Linked DNA regions of Alligator mississippiensis. The protein of the gene in region 1 interacts with the protein of each later gene in a pairwise test. Links are inferred from orthologs where the notes say so. Each region holds a gene or a part of one and is shown in the gene's direction. Other genes may lie near its edges. The genes, in order: KHDRBS3, INPP5D and BAHD1.

Region 1 (9,786 bases):
ACCCTCATGGATAAGAGTACACCCTGATGTGGCAGCCTCTGGGGACTTTTTCAAAGTCCTCCAGGCATGTTAGAATCCCCACCTTTCCCTCCATGCTCAGAAGCACATTCCCCGCTCCTACTGCTTTCTCCACTGTCCCTGGAAGCTTCAAAGCTGCTCCTGCCCACACCAAGGGGCCATGAGTGGGCTGGGAATGTTAAAAGCTATAGCAGCCAGATTTAGGGGGAGGGGGTGGGAAGAGGGTGATTTCCCTACGGTGCCTGGTCCTTCTCCCCTCCATTCCCCCAAGCAGGTGCAGTAAAGGGGAACACCCTGGCCCCTGAACATACCCCAGGAACCACTTTGAAGTTTTATCTTGCCCCAGATGGAGGGGTGGGGGAAGGAAGCAGCTGTAGCAGGAGGAGGAGAAAGGAGAAGGGTAGGGAAGGGGGATGTTTTTGGAGACTAAAAAAAATCTCCAGAGGTTCCTGGACTAGATTTAATGCAAAAGGCAGCTATGCCACTAAATCCCCTTCCAGGGTCCACCCGGGTCTGCTTCCTTCAACCTGCACCTTCTATGCTTATATAGCTACTAGTCTTTGTTCCCTCACACCTTCCTGTTCCTGATTTACTGAAGCCCTTTGATTTAATGTCCTTATTCTGACTGTGGTGGAGAACACGGTGTGCTTCACTAGTTAGATGCTGATTTTGACTTGAACAATAGGCTAAAATGTGGATAAACTGGTAATGACTGTATTTTCTGATTTCCTGTGAAGGAGGACAAAGCTTTAGATGTATCCTTGCTACGCTGGTATTTGTTTTCACATTAAAAGCACCTGAGGTTCCATAAAACCAGAAACACTAAATTGGCCAATTCAAAGGACAACAAGAAATTGTTTTTTAGATATATTGGGAGTAAAAGGAAGGCCCAGGGAGGAATAGGACCCCTGCTAAATGGGCAGAAGCAATTGGTGACAGATAGAGGGGACAAGGCTGAACTCCTCAACGAGTTCTTTGCCTCAGTGTTCCTAAGCGAGGGGCACGACAAGTCTCTCACTGGGGTTGTAGAGAGGCAGCAGCAAGGCACCAGACTTCCATGCGTAGATCCTGAGGTGGTGCAGAGTCATTTGGAAGAACTGGATGCCTTTAAGTCGGCAGGCCCAGATGGGCTCCATCCGAGGGTGCGGAAGGCACTGGCCGACGTCATTGCAGAGCCACTGGCGGGAATATTCGAATGCTCGTGGCGCACGGGCCAAGTCCCGGAGGACTGGAAAAGGGCTAATGTGGTCCCCATTTTCAAAAAGGGGAGGAAGGAGGACCCGGGCAACTATAGGCCGGTCAGTCTCACCTCCATCCTTGGTAAAGTATTTGAAAAAATTATCAAGGCTCACATTTGTGAGAGCCCGGCAGGGCAAATTATGCTGAGGGGAAACCAGCATGGGTTTGTGGCGGGCAGATCGTGCCTGACCAACCTAGTCTCTTTCTATGACCAGGTTACGAAACGCCTGGATACAGGAGGAGGGGTGGATGTCGTATACCTGGACTTCAGGAAGGCCTTCGATACGGTATCCCACCCCATACTGGTGAACAAGTTAAGAGGCTGTGATGTGGATGACTGCACAGTCCGGTGGGTGGCGAATTGGCTAGAGGGTCGCACCCAAAGAGTCGTGGTAGATGGGTCGGTCTCGACCTGGAAGGGTGTGGGCAGTGGGGTCCCGCAGGGTTCGGTCCTTGGACCGATACTCTTTAATGTCTTCATCAGCGACTTGGACGTGGGAGTGAAATGTACTCTGTCCAAGTTTGCAGATGACACAAAGCTATGGGGAGAAGTGGACACGCCGGAGGGCAGGGAACAGCTGCAGGCAGACCTGGATAGGCTGGACAAGTGGGCAGAAAACAACAGGATGCAGTTCAACAAGGAGAAATGCAAAGTGCTGCACCTAGGGAGGAAAAATGTCCAGCACACCTACAGCCTAGGGAATGACCTGCTGGGTGGCACGGAGGTGGAAAGGGATCTTGGAGTCCTAGTGGACTCCAAGTTGAACATGAGCCGGCAGTGTGACGAAGCCATCAGAAAAGCCAATGGCACTTTATCGTGCATCAGCAGATGCATGACGAATAGGTCCAAGGAGGTGATACTTCCCCTCTATCGGGCGTTGGTCAGACCGCAGTTGGAGTACTGCGTGCAATTCTGGGCGCCACACTTCAAGAAGGATGCGGATAACCTGGAGAGGGTACAGCGAAGGGCAACTCGTATGGTCAAGGGCCTGCAGACCAAGCCCTACGAGGAGAGACTAGAGAAACTGGACCTTTTCAGCCTCCGCAAGAGAAGGTTGAGAGGCGACCTTGTGGCTGCCTATAAGTTCATCACGGGGGCACAGAAGGGAATTGGTGAGGATTTATTCACCAAGGCGCCCCCGGGGGTTACAAGAAACAATGGCCACAAGCTAGCAGAGAGCAGATTTAGACTGGACGTTAGGAAGAACTTCTTCACAGTTCGAGTGGCCAAGGTCTGGAACGGGCTCCCAAGGGAGGTGGTGCTCTCCCCTACCCTGGGGGTCTTCAAGAGGAGGTTAGACGAGTATCTAGCTGGGGTCATTTAGACCCAGCACTCTTTCCTGCTTATGCAGGGGGTCGGACTTGATGATCTATTGAGGTCCCTTCCGACCCTAACATCTATGAATCTATGAAAACACCTTCTCTTTCCAAGGCCTGTTCTTTGTGATTCATGCAGTGTAGATGGTTTGAATGTGGGCTTATCAAATTAAGGTCCTGTACTCTGCAAACGCTTTATCTTATGGTTTAGTCACAGAAGTAGGAATGTTTTTTCTCATGTCCTTCACCAAGGATTACATTCCCACATGTTCTGTGGAAAAGTTTTCTGCCTGACCTCTTAACCAACAAATGGCTGCATTTTAAATGTGTATTTACAATATTCAGTCAAGGATGAATTAAAAAAAAAAAAAAAAAATACTCTAGCTCAACTTTTTTCCCCAACTGCTTGTAATTTTGGCTTTTACATTCCCTGTTTAGTCTCACACTTTATTTAATTAGTAACTTTGATTTACCCTCTCCTGAGTTAAGTACTTTAAAATATTGCCATAGTTGCCAATAGCAAATGTTGCATTCACTTGCAACTATTAACTTCAAACAACCTATTGCACAAGTACAGGCATGTCGCATCATACACGCATTTAACTTGTGCGAATTCAACTATACGTGGGTGGGGCGGCCATCCCGTGCTGCGCCGCTGCTGCCGGCCGCACAGCTCTAAGCGTGGCTCTGCGGCGGTGGTGGGAGGTTTTGGAGGTAGAGGCAGTCACTGCTGGCACGGTAATATGTGATTTCACTATATGTGATTTTTTGCCTTTACGTGCTGCCTTTAGAACGTAACCCCTGCGTAAGATGCGGGATGCCTGTATTTTATGCCTGACTCTTAATTTTTTTGTTAAGGTCATCCTAGTTCCAAAGCTGTTTTCAGTTGTTCATAATTGTAAAACTTTTATCTTTACTCATATTTGATCTTTTTTTTTTTTTTACATATTGCATTAAAACGCTGATTTTATTTAATAAATATTGATCTTCAAGTCCTGTGTATACCAGGGAACAACAATTGTGTCAAACTGGAACCTAACCAGTGTGCCAGCAATTTCTTGATGACTGCATTTGAGTCCTTGCTCAATGGTGGATTACTTTAGAGACTGCTGACCAAATATGAATTGCTTCTGGACATGTCGAGCTAAATAGCTCTGGCTTGGGTTTATTTTGAAGATCATCAGAAAAATTAATCAAGGCAAGTATACTTTTTATTGTAACACTGTCTGTGAAGTGATGCAAGACCTGCCAGTTCGTATTAAATCTTCTATTTGATATCTTAAAATATGGCTTCATAGATTTCTAGGGTCAGGCAAAAGAACACGAACAGTTGGAGAGTTGTGTTATGTCTACACTTCCTAACTTTGCAATGCAGTTTCTTAAGCAGGGCTCGTTTGCAAGAAATGTTATTACATCTTTCTGATTATATTACAAACACTAATCAATATAAAGCTATCTGATTATCAACCTATAGTTCATACTTTGTCATGTTTTAAGGGCAACGGATCACCTGTTATTACCTTTGTTAACCTTGCAATCAACGGATACTTTAAAATGTTATATGCTCCTTTAACTTATGGCTCTTACTTGTAAAGATGGTGATTGTCCCTGTCTGTTTCTCTGGCATTTGTAGAGAGGATTCTCCGTTATTTTCTCTGATGAAATTCCTGAAGGCCAATGAGGAAGCCACGGTGTAGCTCAAAACTAAAGCCCAAGGTAAAACATGTGCTAATATACTAAGCGTATCCACGCAGATATGTAGCAGTGATAGTCTTACAGCTTGATCCTTAGCACATAAGACTGGAAGGGGCCACCCGGCTCATTGAGTCCCCTTCCTTGGGATTGTGGCCACCTGAAATGGAGGGCTGCTAGTCAGGTTCGCAGCGCCCACGCCATGGCAGCCCCAAATGGGCTCGGCTCTGGTGGAGTTGCCGCTTGCAGCGGCGCCAGCCTCAGGATGATGCACAGAGGCTTTTGGGAGCCGTGAGTACTCGGCCCTGGGGAGGGAGGACCCTTATAGAGGAAACATGTCAGTAGTCAACCTTGAGTGTTTTGCGGGGTGGGCGGTAGGGGAAGCGTTAACCTCTCGTGGAAGCATTCGAGTGATGGGGTAGCCGGGCTGGTCCTCGCCTCTCACATTCATGCATCATGTCATGTAACTTCACCTATCGATTTAACTTGTGGTTTCAAGTAATATAGTTCACGTATTGATTTAACTTCACGTATCGATATAACTTCTGGTTTCAGGTAATACAGTTCACGTATGGATATAATAACTTCAGGTATCAAGTCCTATAACTCATGAATCTCCTCTGAAAGTGCGAGACTGGCACGTGTTTTCCTAGCGTCGTTCTTCTGCGTTTCGGGCCGTGCTCAAGTGGTGTCTTCACGCTTTTTGCCCAGCTGCACCACCGCGGAGGCTTGTCTTGCATTGGTACCGTGGGGCGCGGCCTGTGAGAATTGCTGCCACTGCGAGGGTGCTCCCCGCTTCCCGCCCCCGCCTGGCTGGGCTCTTCCTGAGGGGAGGCTCCAGCGCCCTTTCTGTCCGTGGGGGGAGGGGGGGCCCCCGGGCTGCTGCTGCGGTGCACGAAAGGTTAAGAGAGGCTGAGCCGCCTCCGGCTCCAACGGCCGCCGCGCGCGAGCCCGCCCAGCCCAACGGCGAGGAGCGGCACCAGCCAATGAGAAGCCGCAGGTGTCCCGGGAGTGACAGCCGCAGCCGCCCAATAGTAAGCTGCTCAGACGCGATTGAAGGAGGCGGGTCGGCCCCGCCCAGTAGGAGGGTTCTGTGGGCGCGGCCTCTCCTCCCGGCGGGGGGGGCGGGGCTTCAGCGGCGCTATATAAACCTGCGGCGGAGGGGCCGCGCCGCTCAGTCGGCGCCGAGTGGGGCGGCGGCAGTTGCTCCGGTAGGGAGAGTTTCCCACCGTGCCGGGCTGTCTCCCTACGTCCCTCGTCACCTTCCCGCCGCTGCACAGGCTAGGGGCGGCCCCGCCCGCTGGATGCGCCCCGGGGCCGGGCGGGAGCGCTGCGGCCGCGCGGGGAGGATTTACCGCGGCCATGGACGACAAGTACCTGCCCGAGCTGATGGCGGAGAAGGACTCGCTCGACCCGTCCTTCACCCACGCGCTGCGGCTGGTCAGCCAAGGTGCGCCCGCCGGGGGGAAGGGGGTCCATCTTCCTGTGTGCGTGTGCCGGGTGCGTGCACTTGTGTGCGTGTGCCCGGTGTTGCTGCGTGTGTGCACTGCCACGCGTGTGTGCGTGCGGTGCTCCTTGTGCAGCAGCCACCGGAGCTTGCCCGCCGCTGCCTTCCCTCGGTGCCCTCTGCCGCTTCTTGCGGGTACCAGCCTCTCCTTCCTGCCCTGGTCTAAGGCAGCAGTTCCCAGACTGTGGCAGGGGTGCGCAGACAACCTGTAAGTGGTACGGGTGAGCAGATCCATTATAACTATATGACCAGCGTTTGCTGGTGGTACTTAAGGCACCACCGCCAGCACAGGTTGCAGTTGTACTTAAGGCTGCATGGTTTTAAATTAGTGGTATCAGTCTGGGAACTGCAAGGGCTGGTGTAACTTTCCGTCAACCTCCCGCTTGAATGTGACCTGCATCTCCGGGCAGCTCTCGGCTCAGCATCCTCAGCCAGGGGCACAGCCCTTTCCCAAGGGAAGCGATGCCCCGGCTTAGTCCCAGCGGTTCTGCTGCAGGCAGAAGGGAGAAGTGATTTCAGGCACCGGGGTCCATTGGAAAAACATTTTGTGTCTGAAAGCTGCCACAATTGTTCTGGCAACAAATGTTCATGGAGAAATGTTAGCAGGCATTTGCGCGCGGCGTGTTTGCACATCATGTGCAAACATCGGATTGGTTATCGATTAAACCCTCGCTGCGTTAAACTGTTTTTCTTCAGAATTCATAAAGTCAAGGCAATGGGTCGGCAGGGTTTTGAATGGTAAAATCCCAAATTTAGGACTCCATCTGTTTGGCAGCAGGCTCTTTAAAAACAAATGAAGAAGAAGGACTCTGACTTGAGCTGCTCAAATGAGTAGAAAGCAGGATTAAGTAGAAGTTGCTTTACCTAAATTATACTTATTTAAATATATTCGGGCTACAAATGTTATTAGATGGGTATAGCCTGTTGACTTTCAGGTGTTAAGAATTCTCTACTTTTTTTGAGGACTAATAGCTTCTGCTACATACTATAGGGGGGTTGCACTAATATAGGCAATTTCATGAGGGCAATAGAAATGATTTTTGCTTCTTGGTCCCCTTAAGCAGTCAGTGCTCCTCGTGTTTTGTTTTGGGTTTTTTTTTTTGAGGGGGGGGTCTTTTGGGTTTTTTCTAAGAAATTTTATATATGAAAAAAAGCAAAACAAAAAACACTTGCATAACGTATGGAAAGCGGAGAGGGGTGGGTGAGGGTGGAGGAACTAGCTCAGAGGAAGGAGCTTGGTAAAGCAAATTTTGACATAGCAGACAAGAAGCTTGGTTTAACATGTACTTGTTTTAATGGATATTTGTTCATGAAACTTAAAGCAACATCTGTGCTTCAATCATGAAGAAAATGACCCACTTGTCAATGAGTGACTGAGTGAAGGTTGCGGATAGAATATTTTCTGAATAGCAGCATTCTGCATGTGTGTGTAAAGAGGGTTTTTGAGGAGATTGTGCAAACATGCATGGTACTTGTGAGAATAGACACAAAGGATAGCTCTGTGTGTGCGGTCTGATAAGAGTGAAGCTACCAGCATTAATGCTTGAGTTTTTTTTTTTCTTTTCGTTTTATGGATGAGTCAAAAATCTGCAAAGGAAATAGGTGCCGGCAACTTGATTGGGAAGTGATATGACCTTTTAAGTTCCTTGATGCAATAATTTGATTGTTGCATCTGTGTACACTTGGTAAGTTTCTAGCTTGCAGGACTAAAAAATGGAAGGTGCTCTTGGAGCAAATGGATTAGGAAGAGCTGTCTGTTAATGGGTCTTGTGTCCATGTAGGCTCCTTTCTTCAGCTCCGGTTTTAATAAGTGAAACACTAAGTGTGAACCCATTGTGTTCAAATCTGTAGTCGCTAAAATAAAAGCTCAGTAGGTAACAACTTGCTAGCTCCATGTAAATGCAGGTTTCATTCATAACAATGCATATTTAAAGTGACTGCAGCTGATGGGTGGCTTCCCAGGCAGTTTGTATGCTGGATTGATGTGAAGCATCTAATTAATGAAAGAAGTGGAAAATGGAGGTTGTCTGCTTTCTGTAAGCGATACAAAACTGTACTGTGATTAGTGACTTCAGGCTAGAGAAACGGTTCCTGAAAATGGCTTTTTAAACCTACTAATCTAAACTGTAACAGGTGGTATTCTTTGATGTTAAATGGAGAGTGCTTTTTTTTTTTTTGTTAGAAGTGGAAATAACCCTTTCTACTGTCTGCCTGAATTATGCTGGTTTGTATTTTGAGACAAATGATTCCCCTCTCATTCTCTTTCCTTACAGTTGCTCAGCCACTTATTTTTGAAAAATTGAAAGACAGGTGAAGTTTAGCTGTTTTTGTTGTCCTCTGTTGCAAGCAAAGACATTAACAAGTCTCCAGCTATGTTAAGGCTGGGTCTCAAGGGAGCAGAGTTGTCCTGTGGCCAGAGTTTTAGTATCTGCTAGTTATTGTTTTCACACACAAGTGGATACACATGCATCTGTATGTCTGTTTTCTTCATTTGAAAGGTTAAGTTATAGAACTCTGAAAAATACATCATAAAACGCATCGGTGGGGTGAAGAACTTTAATTTGCTAATAGTAGTTCTGCAAAATGTGTTACTTCAGCATTTAGCAGTAGCTTGCATGACAACACATTGGACTTCTTGTCTTAAAGAATTGAAATAACGCATTTTTTGCCTACATACTCATTACCTTCATTGCTACTTCCATTTGCCATAAAGCAGTAAACAATAGTCTCATTGTCCCCCCAAAAACCAAAGTTTCCGGTGGTTTTAATACAATTCTTACAAATATAAATGGAAAAAAAGTTAGTTTTGAAATATTATGGCAAACAAACATTGGAACAATTCACTACTGCTTAAATTTAGTAGAACAGTAGGGGTCCTTCTCTTGGAGGTAATGAGAATATATTGTCAGTTCTGGTTTGAATGAGGCATTTACTTTTTATACTTGAGCAAAATGCATGAAACCTGTTTACTGTAATATAATTAGCTTGCTTTCTATCCACTCAATTAAGTTGGTGACAGATTAAAGCTAGATATACAGATAAATCTTTCGGTTGCTTAATAAGGGGATTGTCCTGAAAGGGTTAAGCTGTAGCTGCTGTTATATCCTGATTTAAAAAACAAACAAAAAAAAATTGTCAGAATACTCTTCTTTAAAAGGAAGGCCCCCTTCCTATGGGTGTTAGGTCACTGTAGAGAGCAGGAGGTATACATACCCCTGCCATGTATAAGCGTGAGGGTATGTAGCTTTCCATGTTTAAAATTTGGGACCTGGCTGACTTGAGAGACAAACGATAGAACTGAAAGTTCATATGAACAAACTGGAAAAATGCAAGGAATGGTACACTTGGTCCTGGTGTTGAGGCTAGGCGAGATCTTCTATAACCTTTTTGTTCTTATTTCCTATAACTTTATGATTTAACATGAATTTTTTTTTATCAACTTTTTTTTTTTTTAAAGTAGGATGAGATGTTTTCTGCAAATAACAGAAAAGGAAATCATTCCCTTTAATGAAAGGTTTTATAAATACTTTTCACTGCAGCTTCTCTCAAAAGTGACTTGTCAGCTCTGGTATTAACACACAGGTTGGGGGATGCCTTTAATATGCAATGGATTAATCTGCTCTTGGTGCAGGTAGAAAACTATTGAACGAAGGCTACAGTAGTAGGTTTTTCCTGGTTAAAATGAAATTTCAGTAATACAGCTTGCATTTGGAAGTTTGTGGTACTTACCTTTTAAGGAAAGGTAGGTAGGGGAGGCCTTTCTTTAGCTTCCCCATCCAAATGTCTCTTCAGACTTTGGAATTAATACCGTGTCTGATATTACATTTTTCTTTTGAAGCTGAGCAGTTTGCCTTGGATGGTTTTCAGTTGAGGTAGGCAAGTTGTTTGGCTTGATTTCTTGTGCTCAGTGTGGACTGCCTTCCCCCTTGTATAGGCAGACAAGGTTTTTTGGGTAGATGTAATAAATATATATATATATATTTTTTTTTTTTTATTAGACCAACTAAATAGTT
Region 2 (10,004 bases), on another chromosome or scaffold:
CATTCTGAGCCAGAAGGTTGGTAATAATTTTCTAGTTGCAGCACAGCTAGTATAAACATGGCTGTACTGTGTGATATAAAACTTAAGCAAAAGAAAGACAGTTAGACAGAAAGGTGCATCCCATCTCTGCTACTGACTTGCTATATGACTAGACAGGCTGGTGTAACTGGGTGTTGGGTACCTCATTCCTTATACACAGACATCTCAGTAACTTCAGTGAGATGTCTGGGTCCCTTGGACCCATGAAAAGCAGGCTACTTTATTAAGTTTTCTAAGTAATACAGAGGGTCAATGGCAACACTGAGGATAGACCAATGCCCTGATCTCTGTCTCTCGTTTCTAGTCTGTATCTATAATTAGAGTATGATTTATTTTAACTATGTGTTCCTGTCTTGTCCCCCTTTCATACTCACACGTGGCAGTGGAACAAAATGGAGACCATTCTCAGTGCTCAGCTGGAGGGGCACCAATCCATGAACCCATGTCCAGTGTATGATAAGGTTACTGGGACCCTTTTCCTGTTCTTTATAGCCATCCCAGGAAAGATCTCTGAAATGCACCAGATCAAAACAAAAACCAACCTGGTACACTTGTGCCATGTCACGAGCACTGACAGTGGATGCACCTGGAGCTCAGCCAAGGATCTCACTAACTCTGTGATTAACACCACACACAAGGAGTGGGCCACTTTTGCAGTGGGACCTGGCCATGGTCTGCAGTTGTCCAATGAGTCGCAAAATCTAGTGATTCCTGCCTATGCCTATCGAATACTTGACCCTGGGAAAACACCCTCCCCCCACGCCTTCTGCTTTGTCAGTTCTGACCATGGAAAGACCTGGACACTGGGGAATTTTGTGGAGGAGAGTGCAGTGGAGTGCCAGGTCACAGAAGTGCACATCAGTGGAGAGAGAGTGCTGTACTGCAATGCTAGAAGCAGCCGAGGTGCCAGAGTCCAGGCTGTGAGCTACAACCATGGGGTGGATTTTGAAAGTGGTCAGCGGATAGCAAAGCTGGTGGAACCTCCCCATGGCTGTCACGGGAGTGTTACAGCCTTTCCGTGTCCCACTGATGAGAAGTCAGGGTGTCAAGACAGCTGGGTGCTCTATACTCATCCAACAGACCCCACTGGACGGAGAGACTTAGGAGTGTATCTCAACAAGTGTCCCTTAGATCCAGCAACCTGGACAGAACCCAGCATCATCTGTAAGGGTTTATGTGCTTACTCAGATATGCAGTACCTGGGCCAGGGTCCAGATGGCTCACCCTTGTTCTGCTGCCTCTTTGAGTTTGGCACCAAATTGCAATGTGAGAAGATAGTCTTCCTCATGTTCACGCTGAAACAAGTTTTTCCAGCACAGTGCTGAGCCCCAGCTGACAAACCTTTCAGTACCCATCTGTAAGTCACCTTAGTTGATTCTCAATTTAACTTCTACTTGTCTGTCAGCAAAAGGCCTATATTTTCTGACTTCATCCTGCTCTTATTGCCGTAGTGTTGCATGCATAGGTGACAATATTTATTAAATTTATTGGAAATAGGTTTGTGTTTTTCTCCTTTTTTTCTTTTTACATGTTCTTTCCTCAACTGTTTCCAATCAGGCTGCCATGTACTGCAAGCAAATGTGATTTTTGGGTGGCACCTTTCACATTTCACACTGACTGTTTCCTAGAGAAATTTAGTGGTAGGCAAGGGGTTACGTGAGCACACATAGCAGCCATTTCATGCTCACCAGTACTTAGATAGGCTGCCTGAGATGTTTTTCCATCAAGTGCAGCGCTGGAAAGGATATCATTGTTATTCCCCACATTTTGGAGGCATGTCATCATTACCTTCACAAAACACCTTTGCCCCTGAAATCTTCTCTTTCTGCTTAGAAATGTTTAGAAGCTCTTTTTGATCTTTTAACCTTCCTGCTCTCTCAGCTTGAGGGAAGCCAAGATGCTGTGGTCAAATTGCTCTCTTATGTCATAATTTTGTAGCTTTTTTCATCTTTATCCATCGTATTTAATTCAGGATAGTCCTCTTAGAATACCCAAACTTCTTGGACCTGTGACCCCTCACCTTCCCTTTGATGCATCTGTTCCTCCCATCTTGCTTTCCTTGCTTTCTCTTGCATTGTGTGATTCAGCTGTCTGAGGTAGAACTGCAGTCAGGCCCAGTAAGCTTTGTCACTAGGGTGAATGTCAAATTTATTGTCTGGAAAGGAGAGACAGGAATATCTTATTAATACCAGGAGTAGGCCATGAAATTGTCTCTCTATCCAAGTCTGGAGACTGCTTAAAAGTCTAGCAAGAGAGCCTGACTGTCATTGTAATAAAATGTCTCTGGTGTGCCAGGCAGTGGGACCTGTCAAACAGCTAATATAATTCCTTGCTTCATTCAGTTTGTCAAGGCACCAAGTGTCATGCTAGTGAAATAAAACTCTAGGGAGTGATGTGAGGACATTTGAGTTGGAGAGCTTTGGGGAGTAGATGGGACTCTGGCAGGTTTTTTTTGAAGGAAACAACTTGAGAGACTACTCAAGGCATGTGTGGTGAACTGAAAGTAGACGATTTTGTTAGGAGTACCTAAGGAGTAACCAGAAGTGAACAAGGAATAAGGAAGAGAGAAGGAATCTCAGGGGAAGATGAGGGCAGAGGTAGAACTGTGGAGAGAAGTAAAAGTTTTAATTAGGACAGGCTTTTGCATAAAGATCAGTCCAGGCTATTTGCTGTATGGTAAACTTCCCATGTGTGTGCACTTGTGCATAATGATTCCAAGGCAAACCAATGTTTGCTTTATTAATGAGGCAAAATATGCACTTTTCAGGGCTCTGCTGGTAGGATTGTTCCATGCCAGCAAAAACAGTGGCCATGTGGGCCCATGTCAGGCTTTCATTAGCACAGCCAAGAGGATTGCCTGTGTGCTCAAGTGCCTCTGTCACTTGCTTCTTGTTGCTTATGTGTCTAGCAGGGGACGATAGCAATGTTGTGAGAAATCTGGAAGCAGTTAAAAAAGGAGGATTCTTGATTTCACTTAATTTCTCATGCTTCTCTACTTTTGCTGAAGGGCTCCTGTTATAGTAGGGGTCACCATATGCACAGAATGGGGTGCAAAGTACGGTGGGAGCTAAGAGACGGTACGACCACCCTGAATAAATATTCAGTTTCTCATGCTTTTTCTTTCCCCAGGCTGCAAGTTCATTAGCATATAGGGCTAAAGTAGCAGCAAAGTGAGAAGCAGTTCACGTGCTGATAAAAACATGACACGTTGCAATACATTCATCTCTTCTCAGATATAGGCCAGAGGCCAAAAATGTCTCTGTGAGGCCAACAGCATGCTATTAATGCCTGACCTGGGGGTATGCCTGTTTTTAGACTCTGACAAAGTTAAGCGCTCTTCTATAGAATCTGCTCACTGATTTAACTTCTCTTGGCAATACCACTGTGAAATGCTTCTGCGTCATGATGGAGAGAGTTTCTCTGGGCACTTCTCAGCTGTCCAAGCTCAATGACATCTATTGGCAGCAAACAAGTAAGATACCCAGGGTTAATGAACTGCTCAACCAGGGTTGGTGAGTTTTCTTTCTTTGAGTCAGTAGTTGTTGTGCATTTTGAATGATCACGTGAACAGTGCTTGTCCACTTATCCACCACACTGGTGTGTTCACAGTCACCTTGGACAGTCCTAGCTTGACTGCAGCTGCAGCTGCAACTGCAGTTCATTCTACAACTGCTAATAGACAAGATGGCATAACACCCCCACACTTGGAAATAATGTGATAGCTTTGTCCATAGGCAGCCAAGACTTCAAATTTGATTATCTAGCATGAAGCTGTGGCCTCATTCTCTCAAGTAAATTAAAATTAAATATTGCTGCCACTGCTGTTATCTAAAAGTGCAGTCATGAATTCTGCCTTTCTGGTTTGGAGTCTTGTACTGAGATTTTCCCATTTTTAGTTTTATATGTTACTAAGGGGGTCACAGCAGACACACCTGCTACTGTGTACCTCAAAATCTCCTATTTCAAGTAGAGATAGAAAGCAGTCGCTGCAACTGGTGAATTCTGCCCTTTAATGTCACCTTCAGTATAGTATAATGTAACATAATGACTACAACACCACCACTTCTGTTCATATGATAAAATGCCAGTTCTCTGCTAGACAAGTGTCAGAGGACAACTGTCCTATAATTCCTTCTTTCCTTAGAATAGCTCATCAGACCTATTCAGTAGACCTACCTGGACAAACATATTTAGGAGGAAATTTCATTGCTGAAATTACATAACTATCAGCAATAGCAAGTGGACTGCAATCTTCTTGCTGAAGCAGTATACCTCATGATTTATCCTTTGGAAATCAGGCTTCAGACTCCTTGAATCCACATGCACTAATCATGTGGGAATCCAGTTTTATTCTTTTCCCAGTGTAATAAGAGTCAGACCATAGCACCATGAGAACTCAGCTCCAGTCTCTTTGGATGTAGTCTTATCCAGTTGCCAGCAGGGATCATGCTGCAGTTTATTTTAGGGCAGTAGGAATCATCTAACCATTTGGAACTGCACTGTCAGTGGAATCTACACCCTAAACATCTGAGAAGTGAGGCTAGAAGTGAAATCTTGAACAAGCGAGTCTAGAACACAATCTTCTTTACGCCTGAGTTATGGGGGAGGGGGTGCTACATAGCTGGCTGGCGGATTTACACATTTGAAGGAAGTCACAGCACACAGGACTGCTCTGAGGCCTCTGAACACTGAACTTAGCTGCAAGAGAGTTTTGTTTTCTTAGGAGTAGCATTAAACAAGAGAATACTTGATCATTTAACGGCTTGAACTTGGCTTATGTCTTTTCTAGTACCTGGAACTTAAAATAAATCATCAGAACCTCTAATATAAGACAGTTTCACTTTGGCAAAAATAGCCTTGTTTGTCAGTCCCCCTCATTCTGTGTCTGCTTATATCTTCACCATATGGAAGTTTCCTTGCTGTTATGTCAACCAGTGGTTTACTGTTGCCTTGACATTCAGAGCTGTACTGCTTCCTGCTGCAGCAACAGTGCAGAAGAGCTACTGCAAGTAGAAACTTTAGAAGGTCCTGAGAAGCCAACACCGGAGCTGGCAGGACATTACTATAAGCAGGATTGGAAAAGTAATTATAATCTCTCTTTCTCACACTCAGACACTCTTTAAAACAGGCAAAAAGGCCTTTGGCATGGCACAAGAGCTGAGATGCACAAGATTTACAAAAATCTTGTTGGTCTAATAAAAGATATCTACTATGAGTCCTGATTGACTTTTCCTCTAGGCCATTATGGCTACAACCTGGATACCTGAGGTACACAAAGGAATTTAAGCACCTAACTCGTACTTTCCATCAAAGTCAATGAGAGTCATGCACCTAAAAATGTGTGGTGGATCTGGGCCAAGTGAGGTCAACAAACAGTTACTCCTCAGTATGGACAGGAAACCACAAGCGTTGCAGCTGTGCCAGTCCTCTTGGTGGTCCTATCTCTACCCCGTAATGTCATGCCTTGTGTTTAGAAGTTACTCACAAGCCCCAGTCACAATAGCAAAATGGACACTGTGGAATAGATGCTTTGGGAGACTCTGACTGTACTGGTACAACCATAGCTGTGAGGAACAGAAAGCCAGATCCTAGACGAAGACAACTCTGTCTCCCTCCCACCCCCTACAATCCTGACCTGTCCCAGCAACAGTTGAATTCCCCAGTGGAACTTCAGTCTGTTCCATTACATTATGCCGTCCTGGCTCTAAGGGGCTTTCTGGCAACCAGAACACAATAGCACAACAACCGAGATTCCTGTACCCTTCTCTCACCAAATTCCGTAAGCCATAGGAGGCTAAAATTTGTCTAGAACCGGCTCTGACTTTGCACCATCTAAGGGCTTTCTCTCTGTAATCAAAATCCTGAGCAGCCTGGTTAAACTGGCTTTCCAGCTGCTTTGAATTAGAGCCAAAGTATACATGTGCCAAAACAGTTCCACCGAGCACAGAGTGGTTGTACGTACAGGCGAGACAACCAAACATGTCACGCGGTCTGTGCCCCTGCAATGGTTTCCTTGCTTGCTATAGACACACCCTCAGTTGTCATGTTTGCTGCCTTGGAGATCAGCACTGAGCATGCCGTAAGGAGAGCCCACGGGAAGGACAGAAATCCATGTGCAGACAAAGAAAGGGGAAGTGAAAGCACTAGTCTCCCTCTTCGTGTGACTCTATCCCATCCCATTGTGGGGTTTTGGTATACGGGTTACCTTTGAGTTCTTCTGATGCTGCGTGATAGTGAGATGTGCAGTTTTTGTCACTGGTTCCCTGGACAAAATTATGAGACTAGCTTATTGCCACGCAGGCAAGGCATAGTTTGTAGATTCCTTCAGGTCCCATATGATGACCAGCTGGATTTTGGGGTCGGGCTACTGAAGATAGACAAGAATAGGACAAGTCAGACAGAAGCATCCTGAGGACCCTGAGGTACAGTGAATCTTGCTCTAATATTCCTGTTTATTTTTAAGGGGTCCTGCAGCAGACAAAAAGGGAGAGGCAAAAAGTGAGAGTGAGAAGGAAGGGGAGGGATAGAGACATTTAGGGCCTGGCTCAGCTTTTGGTTACAGCACCGTAAATGGGAGGAAATGCCATGGAATCTGTGGCTCTGTCCCAAAGTGAGGGAATAGAATTGGTCCCCCAGGCTGGTCCTTTCTTGTGGGGGACACAGACTGTTAACTGCTTGAGCAACAGTATATTGAAGAGGAGCAGAGGCTGCAGGGCTGTTCACGGTCGCTCTGAGCTGTTTTGAGTTCTGAGGAAGTTGTCCTCAGCTCAGTTTCCTTTCCCTCTGTACCATTGAAACAGGAAGCTGGTGAGCTGCAGCTGCTGATTGTTAAACAGACACACAGACAGCTCTGGCAGCTCCCGAATATTAACTGCAGGGTTGTCACTAAGGTTTCCTCCACCTCCAGCCATGGATCAGTGCTGGTACCATGGGAACATCACTCGCTCCAAGGCTGAGGACCTGCTTTCCAAAGTGGGTAAGGATGGCAGCTTCCTCGTACGGGCCAGTGAATCAATCCCCTCAGCGTATGCGCTGTGTGTGCTGTAAGTATGGCTTTTATTTTTCTCTGTGCTTAGCCACCCTTGTCCTATCCATGCAGGGAGTACCCTACATCCTGCACAGGCAAGCAGCCACCTCACTCACTGAGAAGGTATGATAGCAGCAACAGGTTTAACCTGTTCTGGCCCAGAAAGTATGGCAGGAGTGGGAGTTGGAGGTTTGGAGAGGGATTGAGAGAAGCCACATTTGTGATTGTCATTTTGGGGGAAACTACCCGAGGGAAGGGATGCCCCAAATCCCAGAGTTGAAAGGAGACCATGATCCAAAAATGTCTCTTTTGGATTGACATGCTCTGGATTAGAGAATGGCCTAGCTATCTCTCTGGTCTCTGGTCTCTGGGAACCAGTCAGGTACCTAGGTCTTGTTTCTTTTGATGAAAAAGAAAAGCACTTTTGCATAGAGCCCACCAAGTGTTGTGTCCTTTTACTTATTTATAGCTTGGCACGTTTGGTATAGTCTGCTCAGTCAATAAATGCCTTGTTCAGTCCAGCAGGTATCCTGTGAATGTGTTAGTAGCTCCAGGTGGCAGTCCTCTTAGTGAAGTTGTCTGATTCCACCTTACCCATGGACGTGGCTCACAAGAGGAAGCTGGGGGGAAAATACCCCTTAGTAAGCTTCTTTCGGTGTCCTGAGCAGTTGTTTCATTTCCAGTCAAAGATTTCTAGCTGTGGAATGAAGCTGAAGGATTCGTTAGGAGGGCAGTACGTCTGCTCTTGTAGCTCTGGGACTTGGAATCAAGAGGGGGTTGAAACACCACAGCCACTGGATGAAGACTTTGAGGAATTTAAAATTTTACTCTAGAGAGAGGACATGGCCAGACTCAACTTAAACGAGCTTCCTAGGACCAGGGCCCAATCATATGCATCTCTCTTTAAGTGAGCAAAAGGTTTTAAAATCAAGTTTGTCACCACAACCCAACTAACTAGCAAGCTCCTTATTGCTGCTTCCTCTTTAAAATGTGCTTTTTGTAGCTCTTGAAGGAGGTGTCAGCTTCATCTGTGGTCTAACTGTTCGCCTCTGAACTCAGGTCTCTGGGGACAGTTCAGCATCTGACAGAAGGCAGGTCTCTCTGCAATAACGTATGGGGCAGCTTAGCATATCCTGAAAATGTGTGTGTCAAACTGTAACAGAACGAGGGTAAAGGGGTAGAGGTCTGCACAGTGGGCACAGAAGTGCAGGTTGGGAATGGGCATAGTAATGTGTGAGAAGGAAAGAGGCATGCGTTTTTAAGGACGGGTGTTTGCATGTTTCTGTGAGAGAAATGGGAAGTTGATACCTTCAGGCAAGTAGCACGTGGAATTAGTGCCAAAATCATCTTTGTGAGTCAATTGGAATAGAGGGAGAAAAAGACCAGCAACTCCCCTGATATTTATGCAGCCTCTTTTATTTGCTGATAACAAGTATACACACAAATACAATATTGTTTTCAAGGGCATTTGTAGAAAGGAAGACTGTTGTAGATAGTTGTACTAGTGTGTATTTGCATAAATTTTTCCATTTTAAATGCTTATGCAGCCATCTTTGAAAGCCCTTTGAGAGTGTGATATCCAGGTTGTAGCTGTATTGGTCTAGAGGCAAAAGGAATCAGAACTTGTGGAAGAGGTGATATTTTTTATTAGACCAACTAGATTTTTGCAAAAAAATTATTTCGTTCCAAGCTTTCAGGCACAAGCACCCTTCTTCAGGCATAGGAGAAAATATTGTAAAGTTCTCCCAGGTAGAAATGAAAGTTCATATTTCACAGGAGAGTATGAATCTTTTCTCCTATGCCTGAAACAGGGTGCTTGTGCCTGAAAGCTTGCAAATGAGGAATTTTTTTTTGCAAAATCTAGTTGGTCTAATAAAAGATATCACTTCTACCACAAGTTCTGATTTTTTTTGCCTCTGGACCAGTACAACTACAACCTGGATATCACATTCTCAAAGGGCTTTCAAAGATGGCTGCATAAGCATTTACAGTGGAAAACTTTATGAAAGTACACATTAGTACAAATATCTACAACACTCTTCTTTTCTACAAATGCCTTTGAAAACAATATTGTGTTTGTGTGTATACTTGTTAACAGCAAATAAAAGAGGTTGCATAAATACCAGGGGAGTTGCTGGTTTCTTTCTCTCTTTATTCCAATTGGTTCACAAAGATGGTTGAAAAGATTTTTTTTTGTTGCAAAAATCTAGTTGGTCTAATAAAATATATCACCTCTACCATGAGTTCTCATTCCTTTGAGAGTTTGAGATACATGGGATCAGGAAACAGACACAACAATATCATAACCAAGATTTTTTTAAATGGGAGCTAAAAGTGTGGCACTTGAATCTGTAGTAAAGTGCTGAACTAAGTGGTGTGGTCTTCAAAAATGCTGAGCACTCAGTCCCTGCTTCTGAAGACATTGGGAACAATGCTGGGACTGCTGGCAGCTGTGGTTGTGTCGAAAAGCCTGTGAGGGAGACTGAAACGTGTCCATCCAACTGTGGGGGGAATACTGGGATAATCTATCTAATCAAAGTCGATCTGCAGAAAAGGGGTCAAACATGTCGAATAAATTGTTCCCTTTGAAGCGTTCTCAGCTTTGGTGTTAATGTCAGCAAATTCACTTTGGGTCTCATGGCTGCAGAGAAAGTGGCTGTAACATTTACTAGATACAACCAGACCAGCTACTTTCAACAAAATGTAATGTGTTGAAATATGCTGTTTCATTGAAGCTGATGTTTTTGCAGAAATGTATCAATTCTGACTGACTTTTTGACAAGAAGGTTTGTGAAGTCTGGGGCTTTCTAGTCACATCTGACCAAAGAGGGTGAATGTGAGAAAGTGTGACCCAAATTGAAAACCTGGCCAAAAATAGATATGTCAAAACAATGCCATTTTGTTAGAACAGTTGAAAGGTTTTGGCTTTGTTCCAACA
Region 3 (9,645 bases), on another chromosome or scaffold:
TGAACAAAAAAAGTCAGAGCCTAAGTTTCATGCCTGATTTGAAAGATGGAACCTCCAGCAACAGTGGCCCCTAACAGTGTGTCAGGGTATTGATTCCATGATAGTTCAGAGAGAAGATTGCCCCCTACTGAATCATCAGCACCATTTCTTGCCCTACATGTTTCCTCAGAGGTCTATTTCCTGGTTATACCTGAGCCCCTGTTCCCTTTATGGTCTCTTAAGTGTAACCCCTTAAAGTGTTGGGCTTTTTACCCTTACCTTTTTTATAGTGCAATTCTCTTTCCAGAGTGGCATGTCCTTGCCTACAGAACTTTGTGCATCATCTGTACCTGCAGAACCCTGAGGTCTGACTGGGTTCAGGCAGCTGCAGTTCTTTCCTGTGACTGGCCTCATGGCTGCTTAACAATACAGTATTTAGAGACAGAAACAGAAATCTTCAAAACAAGTCTTCATGCACATTTATCTTGTCTAAAGTCACTATGTCAGCTATGTCTTTGATTCCTTTTCCTAGACAACTCCAAACTACCTTCCTTCCCTTCTCTTGAGAGAATCCCATTTTCTGTGATGCACTCAGGTCTTTTCCTGTAATGTCTTTTAACAACTCAGTTTTGGGAGAGAGGTGGTTTCTCTCAAGCCATTTTGCTTCCTTCCTGCTTGTTTTTCCTTGCAGTTCCCTATCAATTAAACCAATGTATTCATACTCCATAACCAAGTCAACAGAGCATTCATAAATTATTATGTAGCAGCTCCAATTCTGTCAGTCTCCCATCCAAATATTGACCAGCCTTGTCCCTATTTAGCACATGAGATCACAGTCCAAGATGGTATGGTTGTAAAGTCATTAAAACATTTCTGAAGAGTAAAGTGAGATTGCATTCTCTATCACACTAAAACTAAATCTATAATTGATTTGATGCTCTGCATTTGGCTACTACCTTAGTTAACCTCCTGCTGCTGTTTGCTGGAGAGATTGGAAGTTTTAAAATTATTTAGTGGCAGCTTGACAGTCCAGTGGTATGGCAGATTTGGTGATTCCTTCAATCTTCACCTTGGAAATACTGGTTAAGCAGCACTTTCAGCTCTCATAAAGAAAGGGCAGGGGGGATTTTTTTTTACTTTTTAGCTAACACTCAACAACGTTGAGCAGCAAAGTAGTGCTACTCCAGGACACTTGAGGGAAGTGGTGAAATAAAAAGCTATAATAGGAATTTCCTGATGGGATCTTCTTTTCTCCCTACCTTTTTCTTAAGTGCAGAGCAACATTAGTTTCTACAGCACAAAGGAAAAGGGTCTGCAAGCAATAAAATTCTGATCCAATTGAGAAGGAGCTGTTACATGTTGGGTCTGAATCCATTTTAAAATAAGTTTGTTGTTCTAAACCAGACTGTTTACAGTCATTATGCTTTGCTGAGTAACTAGCATACATATTCATTTCCATAAGATAACTGTACTATCCTCTGTCATATGCTTCCTTGAACTGATTGTTAACAGAAGAGAAAACTCAGTGTTAATACTGTACACGTCTACAAGGCTTATCATTGGAGCATCTTAAAGCACAAGGATCTTAACAAGGCAATATGTTATTGGATAAAGGCCAGTTGCTAGCATACATCCCATTTGTTTGTTCTCAGCAATATAGCTGATAAGTTTATCTTGGCTTGTTTCTTGGTCCTTTTATTTAAAAAATGATAGCAAAACATTCAGGCAGCCACCCCTCTAGCTTATTTTCTATAGTCGCAGACAGCACATGTTTCTTTGAGAACCTATGTAAAACCTGGCTTCTGATGTCATCATAATTTAGCCAAAAAATGTCATGGCTTCCTGGTTCATGATATCTAACTGTCTGCACCTGCGTTCACTGAAGTAACATCAGGCCATTGATTTGGGGCATATTTTTGTCTGGAAAATACTATCACTGAGCAACCCTACTGTGCCCCCTTTTTAGGTAGTCCTGGAGGTAAAATTATTGCTGTAAACTCTGGGGTAGACTATAACATTATATAGCCATAACAGAGGCCTTCATTATGATTTGGCAAGCCCTGGTTGCTGAAAACAGTTGTGCTTTGTCATTGAAGTGGCATGTAGGTGAATGAACAGAACGCTGCTGAGATCTGACTTAAAGTTCATATCTACATAAACTGCCAAAGGAAACAACGGAGCTTGCATACAAGTTTAGAAAGTGGATCAGTGTCTCCAAATGGTTGAAATGCTTCCTCCTTATCTCCCACCCTTGGCACTGCTGTGATGTCAATAATGGCTGATCCTGCATTCCAGATTCTTTACAGTACACAGGCACACTGGGAAGAAAGAGGATATTTTAGTATGTTAGGTTTCCTTCAGTTTTGCTGAATTCTACACAGACCTTTAAAAATGGTCTTTAACCCAGTTTCTGTGGCTTAATTGATGCTTACTGCATTTGTTGGTTTCCTCTTGCTATTAGCAGAGATTGTTATGCTGTGATTGGGTTGTCCCAGTTGGCACATGCTTGCCTTCAAACATCTTCCTGCTTCCTGGCAATGTTGGTAAAGAAATGGCTTACAAACATGCCACAGTTGCTAGAGAAGTTCTGAGGTAGATGGCACAGGCATAGGAGTGGATGAAAATCAGGGAGGCTGACCTTGTTGATGTCCATTCAGACAGGAGGGAAATGGATTCCTTCCCTAGTCTCTGTAAAAATAAAAGCAGAACAAAAACAGAAACAAGCAAAAAAACCCCAAACCCTAAAACATATAACCTTTTTATTCATGAAAGAACCAACATTGCTTGATAAACTCAACTTTTCGAGCCTGTACTATGGGTGTCTCACTTCAGTTCTCCAGGGAGAGTAGCATCCCTTTTTGGTTACAGAATGCAATCCTGTCTAGTTAGGTTCTCAGGGAATGGGAAAAGACACTGAAAAAGTGCTTTGTAGATACCTGTCCATCAATGACAATGACCTTATACTGACCTGAGTTGTTACTTCAGGCTGACAGTTTTTGGGGAGCATCATTTTATTTTTTTCCAGAATAGGCTGCATGGTCCAGCTCAGTCCCAGTGGAACTTTGCCCATGGTGTCCTCTTATTGATTGAGTGCTGAGACTCTGAAGTAATTAATGTTTTTTGTTTGTCCCCCCCCCCCTTTTATCAGAAGAGGAAAGGGGTTAGTGTGGTAGGACTCAGTGGAGGGGAATGATGGTGATGTGATAACAAAAATAATCTGTTATTCCACAACATCCCTTAAAAATATGTAAGACACATGCTATCAATGGATATGTTTACTATACAGTCTTGGCAGCTGCTGCAGTAGATAGGAGAAACTGCTGTGTGCATCACAGTAGGCCAAGAGGGCAGAGTCCATTTTCTTAGGTTGCTGTCTGGGCAGCAAGGAGAGTGTGTCCCTTCAGCATGGGGAGGTGCACACCGCCGGGGCAGGGAAGCTCCAGGACAGTCGCTCCCTCCTGGCTATCAAGTAAAATTGGCCACCCTCAAAGGAACTGAAAAGTCATTGAAGCCAAGTCACAAGGCTGCTTACAGAAAGAGTTTGTGCCAGTGAACCACTGAGGGAGGATCTGTGACCTTTCTCACAGAAACTGAAGCACAGCAACAGGACTGCAAATGAAAAGGGGCCTATTTTCCTGTATCGGATTCTTCAAAAAAAGGAAGAGATTGTGTTTTATGCAACAGTGTGGCAGCATTTTATTAGTACACTGGGCGTTGAGGTGCCAGGAGGCAGGTCTTCATACAAATGATGAGAGCAGCAGGGGTTGACTCTTTATAACCCATCCATTCTTCATACTTCCCCACAGCATTCCAGTGTTGAGTTCTCCCATGCCTGTTTCAAGAAGTTCATTCTTGCATCACCAAGCCTCTGGCTATCTTCACAAGTTGCAGCCTAGTCTTCATTTTTTTTCAGCTCTCCTGCATCCGTGAAAGAGAAAAGTAACTTGACCTCCTCTTTGAGTTCAGGGGAAAAACAATGGAGTGGAAAGACACATTTGACTGCTGAGAGAAGTGATGCATTGCTCTCTATAGTATCATTAGCAACTACTGTAAGATACTTAAAGCTGAGTTCCACTGTCGGTACAACTAACCTTTCTTCAGAGCTAGCATGCAGCTGAAAAACCCCGTTTCATTTGGAGAAATTGTGAACAAATCACTCCAATGTTCAGTTAAAAGGAAGTGTGTCCTCTCTGTATTTGTGCTTCAATCATCATGTTTACATTTGATAAGCCTATATAGTTAATGCTTTGGAGAGAAGGTGCAGTATAAGCATGTTAGTGTAGACTAGAGGATACGCTCAGTAAGAGACATGTTTATTCAAGAACCCATCAGTTAGAGCCACCTCACTTTAATGGTGCAATGAGAGAGAGTAAAGTTTGGCATCTTTCATTGCGGTAACGTTAGGTCACAAAATCAAGGACTTGAGTTAGGAAATCTCAGAAGCTAAGGTTTCCTCACAATGCCACCTTGCTCAGATGTGATGTATTCTGTTGTCAGTTTTCCTCCTTAAAGGTAAACCTTAATGCTTCATTACCTGTCCTATAACCATTCGTTATACAGCGTTTTATAGAGTTATTGCAGTGGCCGAAGGCTCCCCTAATGTCTGTGAATCTTAATTTGAGCTGTCCCCTATATACAAATGCTTGGTACTTCGGCATTAGCAGTCTTTGTGCATTTCACGCAGTATTTGTAGTTGAGCTTGCGAGTGCCAAGGGGCGTTTGGGGTAATGGGATGGCTGGAGAGAGGCAAGGCTCCCGCGCCGGGATTCCGGGCGCCTTGTGGCTGGCAGAGCCGGGGAGGCGCAGGAGGCGACGGGCTGCTCCGCGGGGGTTGACAAAGAGGCCTCCCTCCGCCCTCCCCGCGGTCACTACGGCCGGAAAGCGGGGAACGTGCTTCGGCCTCCCCTCGACGCCGCCGAGCAGGTGGGCGGGAGCCCGCCTGTGGGCAGCGCGCTCCCCGGGCCGTGCGCGGGGTGGGGGTGTGACAGCCCAGCCGCCCCTGCTGCGAGTTTCGCCGGCTCCCGAGCAGCCCCTGTCCGCTCCTGCCATGCGGATTGTCCTCTCCCGGCCGCGCCGCGGGCAGGCAGGCGGCCTCGCGGGCTGGGCCGGGGCGCCGCGTGGGGCTCCCTGCGAGGTCGCCGACCTGGGTGGGCGCAGCGCGGCCGGGGCCGGGGCGGCTCTGCCACTCGATGGCGGGGGAGAGACAGGGGCTCCGGGCCGGGCCGGGCCGGGGATGCAGCGCGGGGATGGCGGGACCACGCCACGCCCGCCGGGAATCTCCAGCGCCGGGACCGGGGGGGGGGCGGCTCGGCCGGAGCGGGCTCGGCGCGGGATTGGCTGGCGGCGGCGGGCAGGGGCTCGCGTGATTGGCCGGCGCGGCGAAGCGAGCGGCGCTGGGGAGGACGCTGATTGGCTGCGGACGAGGAAGCAGGAAGGAGCGAGGCGCTCGCTGCTCTGGCGGAGTTGGAGCCGAGCGGCAGAGCAGCAGCACCAGCGCGCAGCCAGCGCCAGCCGCCGCTGAGCCGCCTCCCTCCTGTCCAGCGGCGCCGCCCGCTCCGGCCTGCGTGCGGGGGCCGGCCGCCGAGCACAGCCGCGCCGCGCCGGGGGCGCCCCGTCCCCATCCCCATCCCGCAGCCGGGAGCTCCGAGGAGGCGGAGGCGGAGGCGGAGGAGGCGGCGACGAAGAAGGCGGGGGCGGAGGAGGAGGCGCTGACGCAGCAGCGTGGAGCCCGGGACTCGGGCGCCCCGCCGGGCTCCAGCCGCTGGATCCATCCCGGTCGGGGCCTCCGGCTGCCCTGGGCCGGGCCGGGCCGCGCCGCGCCGGGGCCGCACGAGAGGCGCCGCGGTGAGTCCCGCGCGCCGGGGCCGGGGCTGGGGGAGCCGCCATCCCGCGCGGGGGCTGCTCCGGCTCCCCGGGGAGCGCCCTGCGGGCGGGCGGGCGGGCGGGGTGGGGGCGCGGGCCGGGGAGCAGGTGCCGCCCCCCGGGGCGGCTGCAGTGGAAAGCCGCCAACTTGCGGGGCCGGGGCGGCGGGTGCCTGCGCGGGGCGGCCCGGGTGTGTCGGGCGGGGCAGCGCCCCCGGGGACTGGAGCGGCAGGGCCCGGCCCGGCTCGGCTCCGCATCCCCGCCGCCACCGCCGAGCGCGGCCCCTCGGGGCTGCCCCGACCGTGCGAGAGGCTCCCGCGCCGGGCCGGGCCCTCGGGGCGGCCGGGCCGGGCCGGGGCCGCGAAGGGCATCCCGGCGGCGGGGCGGGCTGAAGGGCGCCGCTGCGCTCCCCCCGCCCGTGACCCCGCCGGCGGCGCGGCGCCCCCTCCCCGGGCGGCGCGGCGGGGACCGGCCTTTGTGGCAGGTGGGTGCGCCGGGCGGCGGCCGGGCCGGGCCGGTGCGGGACTGGCCGCGGGTGAAAGTTACATAATAAAATCCTTCACTTCGGGGCTCGAGCGAGCACCGCGGCCCCGCAGCACATGCGGGGTGGGGGGGGGCCCTGGCCTGGCTGTTGTTTCCTGGCCCTCCCTCCCCCGCTTTCAAAGACCTTGCTCAAAAAGCAGCCCCAGGGGGTTGCCCGGGGGCCAGGGCCGCTGCCTGCAGGCCCCGGCTGCTCTTCAGGGGCCCCCGCCCCTCCAGCCTGGGAGACAGATGTCCCGATTCAGATGGCTGCGAAGGACAAAGACAGGCAGCGCGGCGCTCTCCCCTCCCGGCGGGTGGGCAGCTGGGGAGGCACCTCACCCCCGGGCCCCAGCCCCAGCTGGGACTTACCGGTTCAGTCCTCAGGGAGAAAACCTCTGGCAGTGACTCAGGAAAGGGGTTTCTATAGAAAGAGCCGGGTACAGAATGGCCTCCTACCTATTCCACAGCAGCTCCTTTTAGTAGGGGGAAGAAACGCCAACTTGAGAGGGGTTTTCCACATGCGCTGCTGAAGCCGCGATGTTCAGGGGAACAATGGAGGGAGAGTCTGTCAGGGGGCTCTGGAAACCAGGTGTCATTTGTTGCCTTCCCCCACCAACTCCCCTCCAGAGAACTGGCTAAGCTGATCTTAACCTGATGCCAGGGGAAAATACCAGGCTCTGATTTTATGGAGCCCATTGCATAGGCACATGTAGATGGCTGAGGAGCAGGCTCCGCACATTGGCTATATGCCCGTCTGAGCGAGGTCCTCTGGCACTTCCTAACTGTTTTGTTGTAAAGGTATGTGTAGGGTAGGATGGAGGCAGTCAAGTCAGTTTGGGCAGGCTGAGCAGATACTTACAGCAAATGCATGTATGATGGCAGGTGCTTGGCTTTTGTGAGCGAGTCACTCCTGTGTTGTGAGGCTGGCATTGAAGTAACTGTCTTGTGTGAATAAATGTTAATTCACTAGAGCAGTTGTCTCTGCATGTGGTTCAGATGCTGTTAATACACAATCTGATCCTACCATTTTGAGTCCGGTTATCTGACAATACATGCAGGTATTTGCATGGAAGAGCAATATTAGAAAGAGATTATTTTTTTAGAGTGTTTGTTATGCAGTTGTTTTATGCTGTTTAAAATGGAATATGCAAGAGTTAATTGCACTTTACTCTTCAATTTAAGCATCTTTCCCTATGCTGGCTGTCCATTCGTCTGGTTCCAGTCTCGCTGGATATTCCTTTCTCTCCTGTTGGTGGCTCTCACTGCTTCTGTTTCCTCTTCTCCTTTTGTGTAGCAGTAGCTCCTAATGGAGGCAGCTTCACTGGCTCCTTCTTTCCAGCTGCTTCTACAAGATGCAGGAGCCAGCACCATGTGACTGGCCAGATCTCTGCAGACTTGTGAGTGCTTTGTGGACTACAGTTTGACAACCATTGAGCTTGATAAATGGAGATGCAAAATTCCCAGGTTTTGTCTGGCACAACCTAGGACTTATTCTGAAATGCATCATGGGAGCCTAATCTCTTTATAAAGATCTGTGGATAGTTCATGGGAAAACTTTGAAATTATTAAATTTTAAAACCTGTTTTGCCTGCATGGTGGGTGGGTGGGTGTGTGTGTGTAAATATATAGTGTCTGTCTATTAAGTAAAACTGCCCCTGATGCTCCTTCCCTATACAGAGTCTGAATCATCAGGTGCAGATGAACTTCAAAGAAAATGACATTTCTGGGCAGTTGGTACCTCAGTTTATTGACCTTTCTATCAATCTGCCACAACTAGAATTTGCTCAGTCCGACCTGCTACCTTGGGGCAGAGCTCTGTGTACTTTTTGTTACTGTGGCTGTAAATTGTGCTCCAGGATCTAAGTTTTCATTTTTAAGTTGCTAGTCATTCTGCTTGTGCCAAAAATCGTCCAGATGTGACTGAGTGAAAAACAATGTAGTGGACCTGGTTTATTTTAATGGGCGATTGCCTTTGAAATCTTATCATAGTTTAAATGTCAGCATTAAGTGATTTAGTGTGGCTTGGTTTAACAGAACTATCATGCTAACGTACTCCACCTACGATCTTAAATTCTCTTTCACATTTTCTCAAGTGCTAAATACCCAGTCTGTCTCCTACTGAGCTGTGAGAGTTTAGATTTTTACAAAGAACTTGTGTGTCTATGTATCTTAAATATAAAAATATTTGTTTTTAAATTAGCTCAAGTATCCTGTTAAGTAAGACTGGAGAAGTGATGTTCCAGGGACTGTATTTATTTTCCTAGTTAATTTACTAAGACTTGGTTTCCAGCCTGCTTAGTAAAGTGCTATAGAACCAGGGTTGTGAAGTATAGCCCTGTTTATAGGAGTACAAATTAGCATTAAAGAAGCAGAATTACTGTAGAAGGAAAAATAATTTCTTGTGGAACTTCATCTAACTAGAATCTTATCTGGGTGGTCATGTTTGGTATCAGTAGATAACAAACATTACCTTGAATGATGTAGTGCTGTGACCCTGGTAATGTACTTCTGTGCCATCACAGTTTTTTGGCATTGAAAGGTCTAGCTATCTGGTAAAAATTGTTCTATGCTTTTTTTAGAATTCTAAGTTTTAATCCATAGTTGATGATGCAGTTGGGTAGGTCTTTTCCCTCTGACACTTAGATATGGGTTCATGTCTTAGAAAAACCACAGTGCCAGTGTCTGACATGCACTCTTGATAAAGAAGTGATACGGATTCTTAGCTGGGGTTTGGTTACTTTGAAAGCCTCTGAGACCGTGCATAAATTTCTTGGTGGATTGCTAAGGGAGCAACTTTTCTTTTTACACCAGATGTACCTTTCATCATCTCAGGTCTCTTCTCTATTTTCCATTTTCCTCATTGACCACAATATTTGGATCCATTTAATGTCACTTCTTGGCTATAATCATCACTTTGTGGTGAAAGCGTGTTGGGATTGGAGTGTGCTTACATATAATATGTGGATATTTTACTAAGATGGTGATGAATACTTATTTGGGAAGCATAAACTCTTCTTCAAACATTGGCTTGAAATATTTTGGTGTTGAAACGTAAGCTCTTAGCAGGAAGCCTATTCAAAGTAAACAATTGGAAAAAATAATTAGAAATCCTAAGCAAATACAGGCACACCGTTACATTCTGTTATTAAGTTCAGATCACAAGAAAATAACAAACTTTCTGATGATCATATCTAATGCTTAAACATTTTAAGCATAGTTGAATGGCATTACGTAATGCATACAAAATATTCTACATAGATTTTTCCCATGCCTGATATTGGA

The links.
Region 2: the proteins of KHDRBS3 (region 1) and INPP5D interact in binary tests that used the Homo sapiens proteins (3 or more experiments, as listed by UniProt). The two-hybrid records come from large-scale screens. The link is inferred for Alligator mississippiensis from reciprocal best matches to the Homo sapiens genes KHDRBS3 and INPP5D.
Region 3: the proteins of KHDRBS3 (region 1) and BAHD1 interact in binary tests that used the Homo sapiens proteins (3 or more experiments, as listed by UniProt). The two-hybrid records come from large-scale screens. The link is inferred for Alligator mississippiensis from reciprocal best matches to the Homo sapiens genes KHDRBS3 and BAHD1.

The regions. Positions count from the first base shown.
Region 1 is NC_081826.1:12,061,968-12,071,753, reverse strand, and holds the start of KHDRBS3 (KH domain-containing, RNA-binding, signal transduction-associated protein 3), read left to right. Parts: upstream 1-5,431; 5' UTR 5,432-5,628; coding exon 5,629-5,716; intron 5,717-9,786. UniProt on the Homo sapiens protein: RNA-binding protein that plays a role in the regulation of alternative splicing and influences mRNA splice site selection and exon inclusion. Binds preferentially to the 5'-[AU]UAAA-3' motif in vitro.
Region 2 is NC_081830.1:38,844,177-38,854,180, forward strand, and holds the start of INPP5D (phosphatidylinositol 3,4,5-trisphosphate 5-phosphatase 1), read left to right. Parts: upstream 1-6,167; 5' UTR 6,168-6,461; intron 6,462-6,946; 5' UTR 6,947-6,948; coding exon 6,949-7,082; intron 7,083-10,004. Other genes in the region: NEU2 (sialidase-2), read left to right, coding at 423-1,364. UniProt on the Homo sapiens protein: Phosphatidylinositol (PtdIns) phosphatase that specifically hydrolyzes the 5-phosphate of phosphatidylinositol-3,4,5-trisphosphate (PtdIns(3,4,5)P3) to produce PtdIns(3,4)P2, thereby negatively regulating the PI3K (phosphoinositide 3-kinase) pathways.
Region 3 is NC_081825.1:241,371,938-241,381,582, reverse strand, and holds the start of BAHD1 (bromo adjacent homology domain-containing 1 protein), read left to right. Parts: upstream 1-5,443; 5' UTR 5,444-5,823; intron 5,824-9,645.